Linked DNA regions of Mus musculus: regions 1, 3, 4 and 5 are each reported to be linked to region 2. The links are microRNA targets in miRTarBase. Many come from high-throughput screens and were not tested one by one. Region 2 holds a microRNA gene; each other region holds the end of a gene's coding sequence.
Evidence for each region. The annotated mature microRNA mmu-miR-742-3p reads GAAAGCCACCAUGCUGGGUAAA and lies in region 2 at 1,793-1,814, shown strand. An mRNA with a match to its seed (bases 2 to 7 or 8) in the 3' UTR can be bound and repressed. Matches are read on the target gene's strand: a 7mer-m8 pairs with bases 2 to 8, a 7mer-A1 pairs with bases 2 to 7 and ends in A, and an 8mer does both.

Region 1: miRTarBase lists Smim7 as a target of mmu-miR-742-3p. Seed matches in the 3' UTR shown: 7mer-m8 at 2,097-2,103 and 7mer-m8 at 1,655-1,661.
Region 3: miRTarBase lists Sspn as a target of mmu-miR-742-3p. Seed matches in the 3' UTR shown: 8mer at 1,007-1,014.
Region 4: miRTarBase lists Itpripl1 as a target of mmu-miR-742-3p. Seed matches in the 3' UTR shown: 7mer-m8 at 1,057-1,063 and 7mer-m8 at 1,660-1,666.
Region 5: the mRNA of Orai1 is a reported target of mmu-miR-742-3p. Seed matches in the 3' UTR shown: 7mer-m8 at 414-420 and 7mer-A1 at 446-452.

The regions. Positions count from the first base shown.
Region 1 is chr8:72,564,409-72,568,408 of GRCm38, forward strand. Smim7 (small integral membrane protein 7) reads right to left here. Exons shown (of 5, transcript NM_172396.3): 5 at 790-3,400. The coding sequence ends at 3,385. Among named protein-coding and RNA genes, the nearest start is that of Smim7, 4.6 kb to the right of the region's middle.
Region 2 is chrX:66,778,038-66,782,189 of GRCm38, reverse strand. It overlaps Mir742 (microRNA 742), which reads left to right and starts at 1,753; the gene lies at 1,753-1,817. Mir883a (microRNA 883a) reads left to right here and starts at 1,357; the gene lies at 1,357-1,432. It also overlaps the pseudogene Gm14681.
Region 3 is chr6:145,961,195-145,965,194 of GRCm38, forward strand. It overlaps Sspn (sarcospan), which reads left to right. Exons shown (of 3, transcript NM_010656.3): 3 at 1-4,000. The coding sequence ends at 301. Among named protein-coding and RNA genes, the nearest start is that of Gm32838, 5.7 kb to the right of the region's middle.
Region 4 is chr2:127,137,022-127,141,021 of GRCm38, reverse strand. It overlaps Itpripl1 (inositol 1,4,5-triphosphate receptor interacting protein-like 1), which reads left to right. Exons shown (of 2, transcript NM_001163527.1): 2 at 1-2,253. The coding sequence ends at 465. Gm35347 (a long non-coding RNA gene) reads right to left here. Exons shown (of 3, transcript XR_374955.4): 2 at 2,804-3,104; 3 at 2,279-2,397. Among named protein-coding and RNA genes, the nearest start is that of Itpripl1, 4.4 kb to the left of the region's middle.
Region 5 is chr5:123,029,365-123,033,364 of GRCm38, forward strand. Orai1 (ORAI calcium release-activated calcium modulator 1) reads left to right here. Exons shown (of 2, transcript NM_175423.3): 2 at 1-1,088. The coding sequence ends at 316. Among named protein-coding and RNA genes, the nearest start is that of Gm42023, 6.0 kb to the right of the region's middle.

The DNA of each region.
Region 1 (4,000 bases), not on the chromosome of region 2:
ACGCCTTTAATCCCAGCACTCGGGAGGCAGAGGCAGGCGGATTTCTGAGTTCGAGGCCAGACTGGTCTACAAAGTGAGTGCCAGGACAGCCAGGGCTACACAGAGAAACCCTGTCTCGAAAATCCAAAAAAAAAAAAAAAAAAAAAAAGAAAGAAAAGAAACTTAGAGTAAAGCAAACAGAAGCTTCCCTGCTGGGGCAGGACCAAGCAATCCAGAGCCTCCCCCCTGAGAAGCTATGCACCCCACCAGAGAAGCTACCATAAACCACAGCATACACATGGCAGGACTGTAACCACGGGCACATTTTGTTCTCGAAGCCAGGAAGACAATGAAGGCTAAGGATTTGCTTATGTCTTCCATCTAGGAAATGCCCATTAGCTCAGAGCATCCATGGGATGCTGCGAAGTGGCAGGGCTGTACTGTGCCTGTCCAGTCAGATGCTACAGAATGGCTACACCCTGGATGATTGGCCCTGGACCCTGCTCCTCACATACCATGGCTTCTTCCACATGGTCTTGCTGTTGGTGCTGTCTTGGCGACTCTTGTATCCTTCGAGATGGGCCTTGCTCAGCGTGAGGCCTAGAGAACCTGAAGGCCCTTTGGAGTGAACACTGCTGCCAGCCCAGAGGCACTGCCCTTCTGAGCTGCTCAGTGACCTACAGGCAGCCATCATCTGAAAAGTCAGAGGGTCCTAGGTGATGAGTTGAACTCTTCAGTTCTCTGTTGGTGGTATACTTTCATAAGGCTATCTGGGTAAGGATAGGAGTAGATAGACTGAATGTTTGTCATGGTAACTCTTTTGTTTTTTATTTGCACACAGCATATGCTTGTGGCTGTATGTGCGACACTATAATCAGGTAGACCCAGTACAACACAGTCCTCCGCTCTGCAGCATCCCAGCATGATCACTTGTGGACAACTTGACCTGTGTGTTTGTCAGTGTTGTAAAGAAGGGATAAAAAGAGGGCTTATTTGTTCAGGCTGGGTGGTGGGAGGCAGAAGACAGCACTTCATATCTTGTAGCTCTTAAGCGTGAGAGACAATTTAACTGAAACTCCATATCCCAGTGGTAACGTTGGGATAACAGGTTTAACCTTCAGGAGCACAAAGTGGGTTGTCACTTCAGGTTACATATATCTGGTTATAGCAAGGGAAAGAGCTATTGCTTAACAGCTTCTAGAACATCTGACTTGAGAGTCTCAAATGGTTCTGAAAGGGACCCCATCCCTGAGCCACACACCCCAGCCCCTCACTGGGAAATTCTAGGCAGGAACTCCACCCCTGAGCCAGACTCTCAGTCCTTTCCTGTAAAATTATACTATGTCACTCTACATGAACTACATCTCCAGCCACGAGAAGTTTCTGAACAACATTCCAAACAGACACACATATAGAGCTGGTGATATGGTTCAGTGGCATCAAAAGGCCCTAGCCCAGAACCAAAAATAAATAAATAAATAATAATAAAAACCAAGAAGATTCATGGGTTTCAATTTTTCACACACACAGTAAGTAGTCCAAAAACACTTTATCAGAACTCAAATGAGATAATAAGTGCAAACCCTATGACAGCATTCTTTTTCAGCACAATTCCTCTTCAGAATGAATGGAACCTTTTTTTCCTGAAACTACAGTCCTAAGCTGAGAAAGGCAGAAAGCCATCCCAACTATCCAAGGCTGGGGATCAGCCAACAGAGTGGCATGTTACAATGCTAGGCAAGTGGGTAGGCTCAGGCATGCTGCGGGTGTGAAGGACACAATCAACAATGTCTGCAGCAGCTGTGCAGCCTGAACTTAGACTTGACCCAGTTCCCACATTACCAGAGTTTTCCCCATAGTTCCCGGGGAAGCCTGGGGTAAAATGCTATTATGACTAGGGTTGGTAGTACACACTTGGGATTCTAGCACTAAAGAGGCTGAGGCAGGAGAATGGAAAGTTCTCAATCAGCACAGATTCCATCAAGATGGTCTCAAAGACTAACCAACCAGCCAATAAAAAAACCTGGTATGGTAGTACTCAATTGGGATCTTGTCTCACTACTGAAAAGATAAGGAGTTCAAGGTCATCTGCCACAGTTTGGGGCTGTCTTTAAAAAAAAGCCAAAATGAGGGGCTCAGGACACAGGTCACTCTCAAAAGACCCAGCACTCACATGACAGTTCACAACTGGCTGTAACTCTAGCTGCAGATTAGAGGACTTCTGGCCTCTGCAAGCCCTGCATCCACATGTGTGCAGACATGCATGCAGGCAGAATACCATACATATAAAACAGAACAATCTTTAAAAAGAAAAGAAAGAAACCAATCCAAAAAGAGAGCCCCAAAGCAAGCCAGCTGCTACAGCTTTCAAATGCTGATTAAAGTCCCTCAGCACTGCCGGCATGGCCATCTCTAGATGGAACGCATCTCAGAGCTGATGGCGTAGTCGCCTCTGAACCTCATGCACCTCAAGCTTGAGCTCCCCTCCTTCAAAGAGAGACCCAGAAACCCAAACCTTCAGAGTACGCTGCCAACATCACAAGCAACAATAAAGGAGTGGCCCCAAAGTCACTTTATTAACAAGTGGCTTGAAAGCACAGAGAGGTGTCTGCTAACATCACCACTAGCACCTCTTCCACAGGCCTCTTCTGGAGAAGCTGAGTATGTTATGGCTAACAGCTTAGTGTCTAAAGAAGAGGCTGGTGTCCCAAGGGAGGAGGACCGGCTCCTCCAAATGTTGGAGCAATCTTTGGCTGCCCCAGGTAGACCCAGTTATGGGGTGAGGAGGAAACGTTTGGAAGTAAGACCTCACTGGCCCCAGACTGTTGGGTCCACCAGCATAGACCTGGTAGTGCAAAAGAGACTGCTAGACTGTCATAGCTGGCCCGGCAAGCAGGTGCCTGAGTCACATCAATTAAGGACAATCTGTGCAAGGCCAGGAGTGGTGGCATACACCTTTAATCCCAGCACTTGAGAGGCAGAGACAGGCGGATCTCTATGAGTTTGAGGCCCGTCTGGTGTGTGAGTTCCAGAATAGCCAGGGCTAACCAGAAAAACCCTGTCTCAAAAAAACAAAAAAACAGACAAAGACACCCAAATCAAACCAAAACAATCACCATCAATTCAACCAAGAAATAGCCCAGGTCAGGTTTCTGGAGAAGCTGGGCCAGGAGAAGATAGAATGCCAGCACAAGGTAAAGACCTAGGTCTTTCTCCTAATAAAGTCTGACTTTGTCACTGTGGCTGACGAGGGTCAGGGAGCTGGGAAATGGACATTCTCCACCCAAATGAGCTTGGGCCTTCTGGGAAGGTCCCTGGTTTTCCATTGAGAAGATTCTTGAAGTCATCAGAAACAGAAATAGAGCCTTGATGTCCAGCAGGTGATCTCTGGGTTCCACGCAGGACTCAAGAGCCGAACAGTCTGGAAAAGTCAGAAGGTGAAATGACCATGAGGACAGGAAGGGGCTGTGGTAAAAACTCTGGCACACAGCTGGGCGTGGTGATGCACATCAGCTATCCCAGCACCATTGAGGCCAAGCAGGAGGACTACACAGTTAAAACCAGCGTGGGCTACACAACAAACTACTATCTCGAACACACTGTTGGGGATTATTTTTCATGAAAGTGCTTCATGGTTCTGCACTTAAACATAACTATTGGCTAGGCAAGGTGACACAGTGAATAAAGGAGCTTGCTGCCAAACTTAATGGTCTCAGTTTGATCCACAGGATCAACAAGGTGGAAGGAGAGAACCAACTCCTGAAAATTGTTCCCTGCCTTCCACAAGCATACTTTATCACATGTGTGCACCCCTAGGTAAACATATAAAATAATACCACAAAAAACAAAAACCCTGTTGGCTGGACACTGAGGTATATGCCTGTAATCCCAAGAGGCATGCTAACACTGATGCCTGACTGCCAAGGTATGAACTCAGATCCCTACTTCACACTATAAAAGCCATTTCAGTGGTCACACTTGTGTGTCTCAGGACTCACAGGTCTGGGGCAGAGGCATCAGA
Region 2 (4,152 bases):
AGCTATTAAGAGGGAGGACATCCTGAGTTTTGCAGTCAAATGGATGGAACTAGAAAATATCCTGAGTGAGATAACCCAGACAGAAAAGAACATGCATGGTATGTACATACTTATACCCATGACATACGCCCACAGACCCTAAGAAGTTAAACAAGAAGGAAGGCCCAATTGAAGATGCTTGAATCACACTTAAAAAGGGTAACAGAACTGTCATGGGAGGCAGAGGGAGCAATGTGGGTATGTGAGGGGGATATGTTTGCAGGATCAGGTGTGGGAAGGGAAAAGAAAGAGGCCCATAGGCCCAGGAGAATGAATGGAAATCTCTATCTTGCAGGGGACTTACGGGTGGAGGTAATCTCTAAGCAGACCCTGAGACCTAGGATAGGGAAGGCTCCCAGGAGCCATTGTGTGTGACCTTAGCTGAGATGCCTAACAATGTGGACATGGAACCTGAAGAGGCCACCTCCTATAAACAGGCAGGACCTCCTGTGAAAGATAAGGACACGAACCCACCCATAAAACTTTTGACCTAAAATCCACATTTTTTAAATTATATTTTTATTAATCCTTTACAATTTCATATTCACTTTGGTCATAATTATAATTAAGTTTGATAAAAGAATATGTTTTGTTGTGATCATCATTTCTCTTTAAGTTAGGGTAGTGACAGGTTTTTATGTGAAATGTACATGCAAAATCAATTGGATTTTCAATATCATCAGCTTAAGTGTGAAATCAAACATTTACAGACACAGTTTAGTGGGGGTGTGTTTAATTGTGAAGATTGTGATAAAAGCTGTTGGATGAAATTGTTGTTGTTGAGATGAAGTACAAAGGATCAGTCTATGCTATCTCAAAGTACAGATTAATACATACTGAAGCCTTCATTTGATATATTCTCTTGATGCTGATGACTAAATCATTGCAGGTATCTTGAGGTCTTGCCTTGTTCATTTGTTATTCTTTGGTGTCACCTGACCTATATATTTATAAGAATATTTGTCTTGTTAATTCTATTTTTGTTTTGTTTTGTTTTGTTTTTTTGAGACAGGGTTTCTCTGTTGACCAGGCTGGCCTTAAACGAACTCAGAAATCCGCCTGCCTCTGCCTTCCGAGTGATGGGATTCACGCCCGGCTATGACTTGTTAATTCTTAACCTCTTGAATTCATACAGATTCGAGGAGTATCAAGAAAGAAGCAAGTCTGATACCTTGAAATGGAGATGGAAGATAATGGAAAATATGATTATACTTCCTGAGGAATTATGTGTAAAGAAATAACATTGCATTCATGTCATACTGAGAAGAATCATGAAAGTTGTTTTTGAAGTCAGCTGATAATAATAATAATTCGTGTGCACTATAATGCTGAGAGAAGTAGCAGTTACTTTATTCTATAAGTAACTGCAACAGCTCTCAGTATTGTAAGGCTCAACAAACGCAGGGATGGTAGCCATATGGTCATATTATGCCTTCATAGAGAAGATAAATGTACTGATTCTGGATTATACTTCATCCATCTTCATGATATCTTCAGATCTATAACCATAGAGAAGAGAACGGTTGTAGAACTTTAGAAGTATACTAAGAAAAATCCTAATGGTGGAACATGAGAAGACAGCTTCGAAGAAGAATGTGTGGTTAAAAAAAAAAAGTAATTATTGTTGACGACTTACTTCAATGTTCTATTCAATTTTATTTCACATGTTGAAATAAAGACTTCAGATGGGCTGGTTCTAGAGTACCTGGGCAGTGCTCTACTCACATGGTTGCTAATCACGTGAAGTGTAGGTGAAAGCCACCATGCTGGGTAAAGTAAAGCTCATCATGTTCTTCATTTGTTGTGGCCTTGGGTAGTAAAGATGAAGAAACTATACATCCTTATTATGGCTCCAGAATCTGCTTCCTTGTACCTGAAGAAACTATGCTCTCATTTTTTTTTTAAGTTTAAATGTTGTGGAAGTTAGCATTATTCTAGCTTGCACAGAACCCAAATTATACAAATTATAAGAACAGAAAATTGCATGCCAGTCTCAATAGGGATCATGAATATAAATATCAGAAATAAAACCAATCAATGATTTCAGGCCCAACTGAATATCAATTCAAATATCTTGTGACAACTTAGATGATGAGTGCACGAAAGTGGACTGAAAAGCTACAAGTAATTAGAGTCTTCCTTTATAAATATGGCCCTAAGTGAAAAAGAACCAAACAGATTTAAATTCAAGTCACTGAAATTATGATGGTATCAGTGATTTGAATTTAAATAGACCAAGTTCCTATCTTCTGTATTCTGTAACTTTCTCCAGTAATTGAACAGCGATATACAGGTACAATTGTGTTGTATTCTCATCCTATGCTCCCAATATTCTGATTCTTTTAGAAGATTTTCATTACCTAGTTTTTAAAAGTCATTTGCAAAGTATATCACTGATTAATCTTAAAGTCACACTGGCTATCTGGCTATAGGTCAAGAGGTCTTCCTTTATCATGCAAGGTGACAAAGTATATTTTGTATTCCCAAACAGTTGAAAATAAATAAATCAATGTTAATATGTCATGCTGTAATTGGTGAAGTGATGAAAACTGCTTGGGATGATTAGCCTACATGGATGATACCTCCATATCTTCATGCTTTATGTTATATCTCACTCAAGAAGCTGTTAGACAGTTGGACTACCGACAAATCTTCCAGGTAAAGTACTGCTCTTTAATTCAGTTATTTTTGATAGGTTCTAGGTAGTATTAGTGCTTTCCATGTAAGATCACTGATAATGGTTTTCAGGATGATCACAAAGCCTTACTATACAATTGTGTGTATCTTTTTAATCACTTTCATGGGACAGCATTCAAGCATCTATGTTAGGTAAGGAAAAGGAGAACAAGGTGCTAAAATTAAGAATTATGCTTTCATAAAAAGAAAATGAGGTACACTGTGTTAATGAAAGACTAAACACAGAAACGGTTTGAGTCTTTGTTGCCCCATATCCTTACTTTTTCAACATAGTGTAGACTATCCATGTTTCACCTCATGGGTACTTTCAAAATAGAGAATGTAAAGAAAGAAGATAATCTAAAGAAAAAAAAAATAATTTCCTTCCCAGTAATTAAATAAAGTTAAAGGACTTTTATCTCTCTGATCCAGAAGTGGTAGAGATAGAAAGTGAAGGAGAGTATATATATTCCCTAAGAACTTGAGTTAAGGACTCCTGAAACTTCTTGGTAATGCAAGAGTCAGATGAGATGATATGTCTCCATTCATTTTGGTGTGTGCATTGTGATATAGGACAGATACCAGTCACTTTCTACTAACCTCTCTCAATATAAGGATACAGAAAAAAGTAAAACTTGATGAAGATGATGAGGACGATGATGAGGATGATGAGGATGATGATGATGATGATTTTGATGAAGAGGAAACTGAAGAAAAGGTCCCAGTGAAGAAATCTGTACGAGATACCCCAGCCAAAAATGCACAAAAATCAAACCAAAATGGAAAAGACTTAAAACCGTCAACACCGAGATCAAAGGGTCAAGAGTCCTTCAAAAAACAGGAAAAGACTCCTAAAACACCAAAAGGACCTAGTTCTGTAGAAGACATTAAGGCAAAAATGCAAGCAAGTATAGAAAAAGGCGGTTCTCTTCCCAAAGTGGAAGCCAAGTTCATTAATTATGTGAAGAATTGTTTCCGGATGACTGACCAGGAGGCTATTCAAGATCTCTGGCAGTGGAGGAAGTCTCTTTAAGAAAAGGGTTTAAACAGTTTAAACAGTTTGGGGTATCTCTCTCAATATAAGGATACTCATAAAGTACTGTCATTGTAAATGTAAGAACATAGATGCACATGCAAGAGTATTTTCTGATTCTAAGATCGATTGTAGCTACCTTCACAGGACATTGTTTAGGTGAAGATATAGGGGGAACCTTTCATCTAATTCCTATTTCTCATAGGTGAAAATATTTAAAATTAGGGACATAGCACTATGGAAAATAAGTTTAGTTTCATTTTAATTTTTAAGTGCTTTTTAAATTAAAATATTTTATAATTCTCCCCTTTCGTTTCTTCCCTTCAGCCACTCTAATCAACTAACCCCTTTGTTCTCTCTCTCATTCATGCCCTGCTTAGTCCATATTTTGAAAGTTTTATGTA
Region 3 (4,000 bases), not on the chromosome of region 2:
CCACCACTACTCCCTGCTTGCGCAGTTTACCTGCGAGACCTCCCTGGATTCTTGCCAGTGCAAGCTGCCTTCCTCGGAGCCGCTCAGCAGGGCCTTTGTTTACAGGGATGTGACTGACTGTACCAGCGTCACTGGCACTTTCAAATTGTTCTTAATCATCCAGATGGTCCTAAACCTGGTCTGTGGCCTCGTGTGCTTGCTGGCTTGCTTTGTGATGTGGAAACACAGGTACCAGGTCTTTTATGTGGGTGTTGGGCTGCGCTCCCTGATGGCTTCTGATGGCCAGCTACCAAAGGCCTAACAGGTTGGCTCAGAGGGAGACAAGCTCAGAAACGGCACACCCACTGACTAGGCAAGGTGAAAAAAACCACAATTTTGTAAAGGCAAACTTTTGACAACGAATACTTTTTCATTCTCTAAATGTGTATTTTTAGATTTTTTTTTCAGAAAACAAAACAACTTGTTTTTTGGATCTCTATTGTACTTTTTAAAAACTTCTTGTGAGGACAGGGGTGGAGAGACGGCTTACAAGTGAAGAGGACTTGCTGCTCTTGCGGAGGACTCGGGTTCAAGCTCAGTTCCGGAGCCCAAGTTCAGTGGCTCACAGTTACCTGTACCTCCAGCTCCGGGGACATTGGGAGCACACGCATGCGCACACGCGTGATTTAGAGAATCTAACCTATTTTTAAAGTTCTAATGAGAAACAAGATTCAAATTGACTTGGTGAACACCGAAAGGAAAAGAACACCAGACAGGGAAGAGATGACCTAGAGCCAGCGCTAGCTCTGGTGTTTATCCCAGCCGCCCTTACATCCTCACCCTCCTCCGCCTTCCCGTTAGTCCAGTGCGATGGTGTGAACTGGCATCACCCATAGACTCTAGAGTCTTCCGGCTCCTCTACCACCTGCCATTATCCCCGTGGTGTCTTGGGAAAGGTCTAAGGAAAGCTGGATCTCAGTTGAGTGCTTTTATGTTTTCACAGTGGAGATGTCTTCAAGGCATGAAATGGCTTTAAAAAAAAAAAACTAGTTGAACAGGAAGGCTGAGTGATTCTGAACACCTGGGCTGGGGTGCAGACTTCCGGTTGCCTTAGCTCCGATCCACGAGTGGGCTGCAGCCTCCGTGAGGTCTGATTCACCATAATTGAAAGGTGGTGCTGTTGCATTCTTAACGACGAGGAAAGTTTAAAAATAATTATATTATGCCTCTAGTCTGTCATCTAAAACAAATCATTAAGACTAATTTCCAGCTAATTGTTCATTATAATTATGCTCAGGATTCTGTTTAATGAGCTCTGGCTGTTCTTAGGCAGCACCGTTGGTGTTAGGAAAAATTACAGCCACAAGGGAAGATGGCTGAAGATCCACTTTCCTGGAAATCATCCACTGCAAAAAATGATCTTGTAAAACATTGAAACACTCTCAGAGGGGAAACAACCAAGAGCATTTGTCACAGGAAATGCTTATATTAACAACACATTTGTGATATTGAAAAGTATCTCCCAGGACCACCAAGTACCTTTGATGGGATTGGGTACTAAGTCCTGTCATACACATGGACTTCCTGGGAAATCCTAGTAATGAGGGCTTTTACAATTGACCTAGAGACAGAATGTCTCAAAGCCCTTGTTTGGGTGATACGTCCACAGTTAGGGTATTCAGTCTCAGTTTAGAGTTAAGACATGGTACTTGGTTAAGACAGACTTTGCTATGTAATTGGGTAAAATTCCACCAAAAGGAATGGGGTGGTGGTGGCACATGTCTTTAATTCCGGCACTTGGGAAGTAGAGGCAGGTGTATTTCTGTGAGTTGAAGGCTAGCCTGGTCTACAAAGAAAGTTCTAGGACAGCCAGAGCAGAGAGAGAAACCCTGTCTTGAAAAAAACAAAACTTAACAAACAAAAACAAGAAAAAAAAAGGGGGGGGGACTGCTTTCAGACAAAATTGCATGAATGCCACAGTAAGCTTCCTGGTACTAACCTGGGAAACCTTTAGTGTTTGTTAAGAATAACCAGCTCCGGGCTGTGGAGATGGCTCAGTTATCAAAGTCCTTGCCATCCCAGTAAGAACCTGATCCCATGTAAAACAGCCAGGCACAGGTGTGTGCTTGTGATCCTGGCATTGCAGAGGCAGAGACAGGCAGATCCCTGGGGCTCCTTCACCAGCCATCTTTAGTGTAGTGATTAACTTCAGGTCCATGATGAGAGAGTTTGTCTCAAGAAAAAAACCAACACTAAAAATAACCCGGAGTGGATAGCTGGCCCCTGGCCTTCCCATGAATGCACACACACAGTTAAGAGTAACCAATCTCACGCTGACTTTCGATAGTTTTCTATAAAACATGGTACATGGTAGAGAATCCAGGATGTCACGGGCTGTCCTTTCAAAGTGACGCTGTTTTCACGCCTGTTACTGTGCACCCAGCCCTGCTGGAAGCACACACAGAATGCCTTTGTCCAACAAACTCAACAGGTTTTTGTTTTTGTTTTTTAAATGAGGAAATTAAGATTCCCCCACACAGTTAAGTTGCTCTAAGCTTTACAAACGTATGCTTTACAAACAACTCACGGGGGGGGGGGGCATTTTAAAGGGTAGAGCAATTTTAGCCTGTGGGTTTCTTACTTTTCTAACACAACCAAGGCTTGGGGTGGTTCCAGCTTATAATATTCTGTCTGCATAAGATGGGGATTTTACTATTATGATCAAATTATTAACTTCCCAAAGAGGAGGAGGCACTGTAAGTGAAGAGAAGGAGCAGAGCCGGGTGGCAGGACCCTGTGCTGGGAGCTTACGATATGCTGGTGTAGTAAGGGCTACGCTGCGTGAGTAACAAATGACTTTGGGCCGGATCTGAAATATTTTGACGTTATGTTTTGCAAATATTGAAGCTTCAGTAAGGGCAGCAGAGAAGGAGCGGGCACACAGCTTCTCACTTAGCAAAATGTCACACTTCAAATCTGTCACAGAGCCAGGACGGAACGGTGACTGTGCCTTGTGCCTTCCAAACTGTAGAACGGAGAGGTTTGCAAAGCCCTTCCTCCCCCAGCCTCCTTCAGGAGAATTAAATGAATCAAGACTTTTCAAAGAGGAGAAACGGCCAGGGCTTGGCAGTACTTGGAATAGGAATACGGCCACCTGGGTGTTCGGGCTGTAACTGAGCCCACTCAACGGGTCTGTGTCTTTATGTGACCTTTGTGGCTCCGAGCTCCATCCAAATTGGTATAGGCAGCATCTTGGAGCCATGCCTAAACCGTAGCTACTCCAAAGCCCTAGAAACTGTAGTCAAGTAACAGGCCTCACGCCCCGTCTTTGGATTGAGAGCTCAGATCTTCTCTTCTGAGTGCCTTCCAGTGTGTTCCTACAGCGACACTCCATTCTATATGTTTTTCTATTCACATCCAAGACATGAGGATCTCTTGATGCTCCCTCACTTCTGTGTGCATTATATCTGGGGCATATTTATGAAATTGTAGTAGAGTCTTCATTAAAGCCATCAAAGGATATTAGGAGGGGCAACTATAGAGGGGCCACTGAAAGATGATTAGAAATAACCTTGAAAGCTGTCCACCATTTGCAGTCATGAACGGTGTCTTCATATTTCCTGGTGACTACCTCAGAACTGACACTGCGTGATCACCTTTGTATAAGTGTGCCGCAGATATAGCGGGTTCACCTTTGTATAAGTGTGCCGCAGATATAGCGGGTTCACCTTTGTATAAGTGTGCCGCAGATATAGCGGGTTTACTCTCGTTACCCCAGAATGTGTTTTAATGGTACAGTGCAAGTTCAGCCTCTCTGATGGCCAGCTGCTTAGTGTGTAAGCCACTGAAATGGATTCGTGTCTTCTCATTTTCTTGTCTCAAGTGAGCACTGCCCCTCTCAGAATTATGAGTCTGCATATGGTGCTGCAGCCGCCTTTCCTGGCCTTGATCAAATTGAGAGTAGACGATGGAGTGTTTCTACACATTTGAGGTGGTTATTTTTAAAGGGTGTGTGTTTCCT
Region 4 (4,000 bases), not on the chromosome of region 2:
GAACACTTGTTTCTGAAGCTGGTGGGGCGCTTTGCCCCTGAGAACACCTGCCACCTCAAGTGCCTGCAGATCGTTTTGAGTCTTCAGGACCATCAGATCTTACCCCCGGGAGCATCTCGCCCCATTCTCACCTCCTACCACTTCAAGACAGCCCTCATGCACTTGTTGCTACGACTGCCTCTGACAGACTGGCAGCACAGTATGCTCTCTCTGCGCCTCCAGGACCTCCTCTGGTTCTTAGGCCGAGGCCTCCAGCAAAGGTCTCTCCATCATTTCCTCATTGGTAACACCTACCTGCCCCTGACCATACCCATTCCTAAGGCATTTCGGAATGCTGAGCCTGTCAATCTTTTCCAGCACCTGGTACTAAACCCAGTGGCACACTCGCAGGCAGTGGAGGAATTCCACAACCTTTTGGCCCAGGTGAAAACTCTACCTTGCTCCCCAGTGGCTGGAGGACTTTAATGGAAAGACCATTAAAATATATACATGTAGATAGGTATTGCTGATTCCTCAGGCTGCAAATGTGACTGACCTTCGCCTTGCCCGTGGGAAGAAGGCTGCAGCCAGTGGAGCCTGATCTGGGAGAGCTGGGGGTGGCTGAGGGCTTATCTCCTGACTTAATTTCAGTCATGACCTAAAGAAAGTAAAAGTGCGTGAAAACAAATGTTATGGGAGGGGATTGCCGCTGTGGCACTGAGATCCTGTTGAACTGCATTTTGTATCAACCCTGGAAGCCAAAGCTCCAGCGATCCCTCCGTGCTAGCTCAGTTCTTTCTGTGACTGGCTCCGTGTTCCCTGTGAAACAGCTTGTGTTGCACTGTTAGCGTAATTCCCACCCAAACTGATGCCTCCCACCTTTCTCCCTTGAAGCGACAGCCACAGTTTATACTTCAAGATGTAAGTTTTCATGACTGGTTTGAAAGCACAACCAAGATGTTTCTTTTCTTTTCTTTCTTTCTTTCTTTCTTTTTTTTTTTTTTTTTTTTTTTTTTTTTGAGACAGGGTTTCTCTGTGTAGCCCTGACTGTCCTAGAACTCACTCCATAGACCAGGCTGGCTTTGAACTTATAGAGATCCACTTGCCTCTGCCTCCCAAGTGCTGGGAGTGTATGCTGCCACTGTCAGACAAAGATGTATTTGTAGTTCATGTGTATGAGTGTTTTGTCTGCATTCTAATCTATGCATCATACGCATGTAATACCTGCAGAGGACAGGAGAGGGCATTAGTTCCCCTGGACCTGGAGTTAAAGATGGTTGTGAGCTGCTGTGTGGGTGCTAGGAATTTAGCTTGGATCCTCTGGAAGAGCAGCCAGTGCTCTTTAACCACTGAGCCAACTTTCCAGCCCCATTCTTTTCTTTTTCTTCATTGGCACACAAATTTATAGCTGTTTTTGTGTGTCTGAGTACTCAAATATTTGTTAGTTTTGATTCATTATGAGTTAGTGGTGACTCATCCCATTTTAAGAAAATGTGTTTCCTAGACTTAGTGAAACCAGCGACACCTGATGACCCTCCTCGTTCCTGGAAGCGCTATTAGAAAGCTCTTCCTGGTGATGATTTTCTGGGGGCTCTACGATGGACAATCTGTTTCCTAGAGAGTGGCCTGTTTGTTACATGGAAAGGCTGAGCTGCCGCTCACTGTGCGTTCCTCTGGTGATGGCTTTCCATTTTCTTTTCAAAGATGACACAGAGGTTTCTTGAACTTTGTGGTTTTGAAACGAGGAGTCCCCACAATCCAGGCCGGTTGCCAGGCCTGGGCAGGAAGGCCTGTGAAGTAGATCAGTTCCAAGAGCCCTGATTGTAGTCGGTGACTGTCACGTTTTCCTCTTGTTCCAAAACCTGCATCTTGAGTATTAAAAAAATAGTTATGGGTGTGGTTGTTTTTGAAGTATCAAAGCTGTTCTGTACCCAACACTGCCAGGAAATCTGGGAAGGAGACCCTGGCCCTTCGTTTGACTTTCCCTCTGCAGTTGGTGAGGAAGGAGGTATCAGATGCTAGCCTTTGGGGTTTCTGTGGAGGGATCCATACCATAGCCAAAAATAAAAGAATTCTAGAAACGTATGTCAATCTTTGAAATTCTTGCTACACAGAGGTATAGTATTCTCCATGTTACCTGCTTTCCAGGTAAAAGGATGCGGTGATGCCTCTGTGCTGGTGGGAATTCTGTTTTTAAGATGTCTGTAGACTTTTGAGAAAACTATCTGCTTCTATATTAACTCCAATAAAAATGTATGGAGGCTGGTCTCTGTATGAACTGGAATCTGTTCACTAACAACACTGGTACATACCTTTCCCAAGAAGTTCTTGTGACTCTCACAGCTCAGGCTGGTGTATCCTGGTGTTTCTCAATGCACCTTGAACCAGTCTGCCCTGTGGTTTCCAGTGGCATGGCCACTGGCCAGGAGGGAAAAAAAACTCATAAAGTTAAGGAAGGTCTAAGTTATTAATTTCCACGGTGCCTAAACCCAGATTTCAGCTAAATTAAAAGCTCTTAGTAACTACAAACAGCACGCTGTAGGAGTCTGCTGGGGCAGAAAGACGGTGCTGTGATTGCTACGTCTGCAGGGTTGTTTCTCATCTGACAGACAAGAAAGAAAACGTGAAATTATGAGTTGGGGGGAAGGCTACAAAGGGAATAGTCAGCAAAGCTTGGGTGGGGCAGAAGGTACAGGGTGTGTGTGTGTATGTGTCTATGTGGGGGTGGGGGTAGGGGTGGTGAGTAATGGAAAGAACAGATCTGTAGTGTACTGGGGATATTCTTAACAATCAAATGGAGAACCTCTCCAGATAGGATGCTAACCTTGATTCTGATACAGAACCTGGCAAGCCCTCAGGATGCAGCAGCACTTCCAGTAATGTGAATAGAGTCCTCTGAGTGGCGCAGGCACTGCTGTTCTCAGTAGGAATTCACTCCTTCCTTATATGATAGCCCACCACATCGCACAGGCTCTGTATTGTGCATGTGAGAGACTGAGACGCAGAGAGGGTGTGCACGTTCCTGTGGTCGCACACCTAGTGAGTGGCACCTGGAATAACGTACCCGCCTAGCAACCTTCCACTGTGGGCTTTGGAATGAAACAAGATGAACCGGTACAATAGCTCTGAAAAGCAAATGTATTATATTAGTTTTAAGAACAGGGCGGTATGTTATTGTTTGAAAGTTCTAAAATTAATTACTAGTTCATAGCCCAGGATTTAGATGAGGGATTTCTATTTCATACAAGGGGGCAGGGTGGGGGTGGGGGAGAGATAGAGAGAAGAATGTAAAGCAATTTCCTTTTTTATGTCGTTTCTTTTTCTTTTTAGTTTTTGGATACATGGTTTCTCTGTGTAGCTCTGGCTGTACTAGACCAGGCTGGGTTTGAACCCAAAGATCCACCTGCCTCTGCCTCTGCCTCAGGAATGCTGGGATTATCTATCTATATATTTAAATGATCTATTTATTTTTATTTTATGTGCATTGGCATATTGACTCCTCACACAGGTGAGGAGTGCTTGGACTAAAAGCATGCACCACCATAGATAGGGCCAGGATGTTGAAAAGTCATTTTAACAGCAATCCCTTTTGGTCTCAGTAACTTGATGACTTAAATTAGAAACTGTTAGGGCAAAAGCCAGCAAATCTGTAGCGAAAGGTTGCTTGTTTGGCCAAATGGTAACTGTTGTTCCTCACCCAAACTAAGGCTGTTTCTTTTGGATTTTCAGGAAGTAGAATCTGTTGTGCTGTCGGGGTTCTGGCAGCCTATAAGTGGGGGAGGGGCCGAGTACTTCACTTCTGTACAAAGAGAGGAACTGAGCTTCATGTGCCTCTGATGCTACTGATAAATCACTTAATCTTTTGGCACCCTTCATAGCCTTAACTCTGAAACAAAGGAGGCATTCAGAGTAGGACGTGAAAGACCTGCCTGGGCATGCTTGGCCTGTCGACACTGGGTATGGAGCTGGCACAGAGCCAAGCAGTCAGTTTAGGAGGCTCATTATTGCTTCGGCATAGCAT
Region 5 (4,000 bases), not on the chromosome of region 2:
GTTCTTACCTCTCAAGAGGCAAGCGGGACAGCCAAGCCCCACCAAGCCTCCCGCTGAATCAGTCATCGTCGCCAACCACAGCGACAGCAGCGGCATCACCCCGGGTGAGGCGGCAGCCATTGCCTCCACCGCCATCATGGTTCCCTGTGGCCTGGTTTTTATCGTCTTTGCTGTTCACTTCTACCGCTCCCTGGTCAGCCATAAGACGGACCGGCAGTTCCAGGAGCTCAATGAGCTGGCCGAGTTTGCCCGCTTGCAGGACCAGCTGGACCACAGAGGGGACCATTCTCTAACACCGGGCACCCACTATGCCTAAGTCCTCACCTTCCCACTGGCCCTTTGAGGCCTTGGCCTTATGCCCTTCTCCATGACCTTGTCCTGGCCCAGTCCGGAGGACGGCCTGTGTAGGCAGCTGGCTTTGCCAGGGCAGAGTGTGGAAGGAAGAGGCTTTAAAAAAAAAAAAATCACTGTACTTGGAGATTTTCTTCTGTGAGAATAAGCTTTCCCTGTTCTTCCAGCTGTCTGTCCCCCCTCCTGGTAGGATGTGGGGGGTGGGGCGGGGAATGGGGACAGTTGCTCTCTTTGTCCCTTCTTCTCCCCTGCACCAGTGCCACCCGGATGCTTCCTGTCCTGCCCTCAAACTCCTTACTCCTTAGCCAAGTGTGTGTGTGCGTGTGTGTGTGTGTGAGAGAGAATATGTATGTGCGCACATGTCTCCTCTCTGTGCGTGTGTGTACATGCATGTGTGTGCAAGTGTGCATGCACACTTGTATGTACACATAAAATATATTCACAAGGGACACCTCTTCCTCATGTCTGTGTTTGTTGGGTCTAGACTGCCTGATCGGATGGCCCAGTCAGGTGAGTCACTAAACACCAGTCTTTTTAAAAATTGAGAGGAAATGGCTCGGGGACAAAACACTAACCTGTCATGGTCAAAGCCCTAGGATTAGTCCAACAGCTGTAAAAAACTGTGTTGCTGGGGCTAGAACCCAGGAATTTGACAAGCACTCTCCCACTGAATTCTACTCCAAGACCTGTAACTTTGGAAAATTTCTACTCAAAAGAAACCTTCAGGGATACTAATTAAAATATGTACCGAGTTGTTTCTTTTGGAGGTAGTTACAGTCTACAGAGTCTCCAGAAGACCAGAAATGGCTGTGCACACACTGAGCCACTGTTTCTAGGAGAAAGTAAGTTAGGTCCCTGCAAACCTCCCGTCACAATATGTTCCTTATGTGATTAAGACATTAAACATGTCTTACATAAGACATGTTGTTTTAGGTGTCACTGAGGGCAGGAGAGATGGCTCAGTATTTAAGAGCATTTGGCTGCTCTTCAGAAGACCCAGGTTTCATACCTAATATCCCAGTTGCAGTCCACAACCATCTGTAACTTCAGAGCCAGGTGATCCAGTGGCCTCTTCTGGCCTTTGTGATTACTAGGCATGCATGTGGTTTGCAGACATACAGACATGGCTCATTTTTGCCCTTTTTTTTTTTTTTTTTTTTTTTTTTCTTGTCAGGGGGAGGTTAGACAGGATTTCTCTGTGTAGTTCTTTCTGTCTTGGAACTTAGTTTGTAGACCAGGCTGGCCTCAGACTTAAACAAAATCCACTCCCAAGTGCTAAGATTAGGGGCGTGCACCACCACCACCTGGTCACATTAATTTTTTTTTTTTTAAAGAATGCTATATTGGCAAGGCCAGCCTGGGCTACAGAGTGAGTTTCAGGACAGCCAGGGCTATACAGAGAAACCCTGCCAAGAAAAACCAAATAAATAAATAAATAAACCAAAAATGCTATATAGGGGGCTGGAGAGATGGTTAAGAGCACTGGCTGCTCTTCCAGACATCTTGAGTTCAGTTCCCAGCAACCTCATGGTGGCTTATAACCATCTTTAATAAAATCTAGTGCCCTCTTCTGGTCTTCAGGCATACATGTAGGAGACTACTGTATACATAATGAATAACTTTTTTATTAGATATAGTTTTTATATATATTGGGGCTGGAGAGGTGGCTCAGTGGTCAAGAACACATACTGCTAAGTTCAGTTTTGAGTGCCCAAAACAGGCAACTCAAAACTGCCCATAACTGGAGTTCCAGGGCATCCCTTGCCCTCTTCTGGCCTCTGGGGGCACTGCACACACGTGGTGCACATATATATTCATCCACACATATACACACAAAATCTTTTTTAGGACGACTTGAGATCAGAGAGAGAGAGAGAGCAGTGGTTAAGAGCACTCGCTGCTTTTTGTTTGTTTTTTGTTTTTGAGACAGGGTTTCTCTGTATAGCTCTGGCTGTCCTGGAACTCACTCTGTAGATCAGGCTGGCCTCAAGCTCAGAAATCTGCCTGCCTCTGCCTCCCAAGTGCTGGGATTAAAGGCGCGAGCCACCAATGCCTGGCTCACTCGCTGCTTTTCAAGAAGACTTGAATTCAGTTGCCAGAGTCCACATAAGGCGGCCTATAATTCCAGCTTCAGGGGACCTGACAGCCTTGTCTGCCTTCACTGCACACCAGCGCACACATGATGTATGCTCAAACCAACACACAGATAATCCTTGTTAGCTTAAACAGGACCTTCTAAAACCCAGGTATTACCTTCCATAGCCACAATTCCTGAGAACAGGATTTTATGTAGCCTGGGCTGGGCCTTGGTCTCTCAGCAACATCCACCTCTCGCGTGTTGGAATTCACAGTGATGCTTCATGTCCTCTTTATTGGGTGCTGAGAGTTAAATCAAGGGCTACTTCGATGCTAGGCAAGGGCTCTGTGCTGTCTAGATCGCCACCCCAAATTTAGGAAGTTGAATTTTGTATATTGCATTTACCACCTGATAACTCACATTCAGGTTCCTACTTGCCCTAGGAACTCCCCTACTCCATCCCTCTTCCCCCGTACCATTTGTAGTAACCAGTTGTCGCTTCTTGTCTCCTTTAATGTGGAACAGTCCCATGGCCTTGATCTTTTCAAATAGCCGAACCTTTGGAGGTTTTATTAAGATAGCTGAACGTAGCCCAGGCTAGACTCAAACTTGGTATGTAATGGAGGATTACCTTGAACTACTAAGACGACTCCTCCAACTCTCAACTTCTGGGCTTACAGGTACACACCGCCATACCAAGGATCTTGCAGAACTAGGGAACAAATTCAGAGCCACCCAAATGCCGCCCAGGCTCTCTGTGAACTGAGCCACCTTCCCTATCCCATCATGAACATTTTTTTTAAACATGTGTATGTGTGAGTGCATGTAAGTATATATAACACATATATACTCAGTGCCTCTGATGACCAGGAGAGGGTGTCATATCACCTGAGACCTGGACTTACAGGTAGTTGTTAGCTACCTACCATGTAGGTGTTGGGAACAAAACTAGGGTCATGCCTGGTGGTGGTGGCGGCGCATGCCTTTAATCCCAGCACTTGGGAGGCAGAGGCAGGCAGGTTTCTGAGTTGGAGGCCAGCCTGGTCTACAAAGTGAGTTCTAGGATAGCCAGGGCTACACAGAGAAACCCTGTCTCAAAAAAATAATAAAAATAATAACCTAGGGTTGTCTGTGGGAGCAGCCAGTGCTTTTTTACCCCTGAGCCATCTGCCCAGCCCAGATATTAACATTTTTATTTTTTCCTAAAGCAATCAGACCTATGGATTTACAGAATGCCTTATAGTTTAGCCTCTCTTGAGATTTTTTTTTTCATGGTTATAATCGGATTGTGCATTTCGGCAGGAATACCCCGTGAGGGTGTGTCAGTCCAACAGAAACAACAAAATAGGTCTAGTTAGCCAATGTGTGTGTTGGGGGTGGGGGGCGATGCTCTAAGTACTGCACGATGTTCATTTGACCCTCCGCATCCCTCTCAGGATTTTTTTTTGTAAAAATTTATTTATTATTATAAATAAGTACACTGTAGCTGTCTTCAGATGCACCAGAAGAGGGCATCAGATCTCATTATGGGTGGTTGTGAGCCACCATGTGGTTGCTGGGATTTGAACTCAG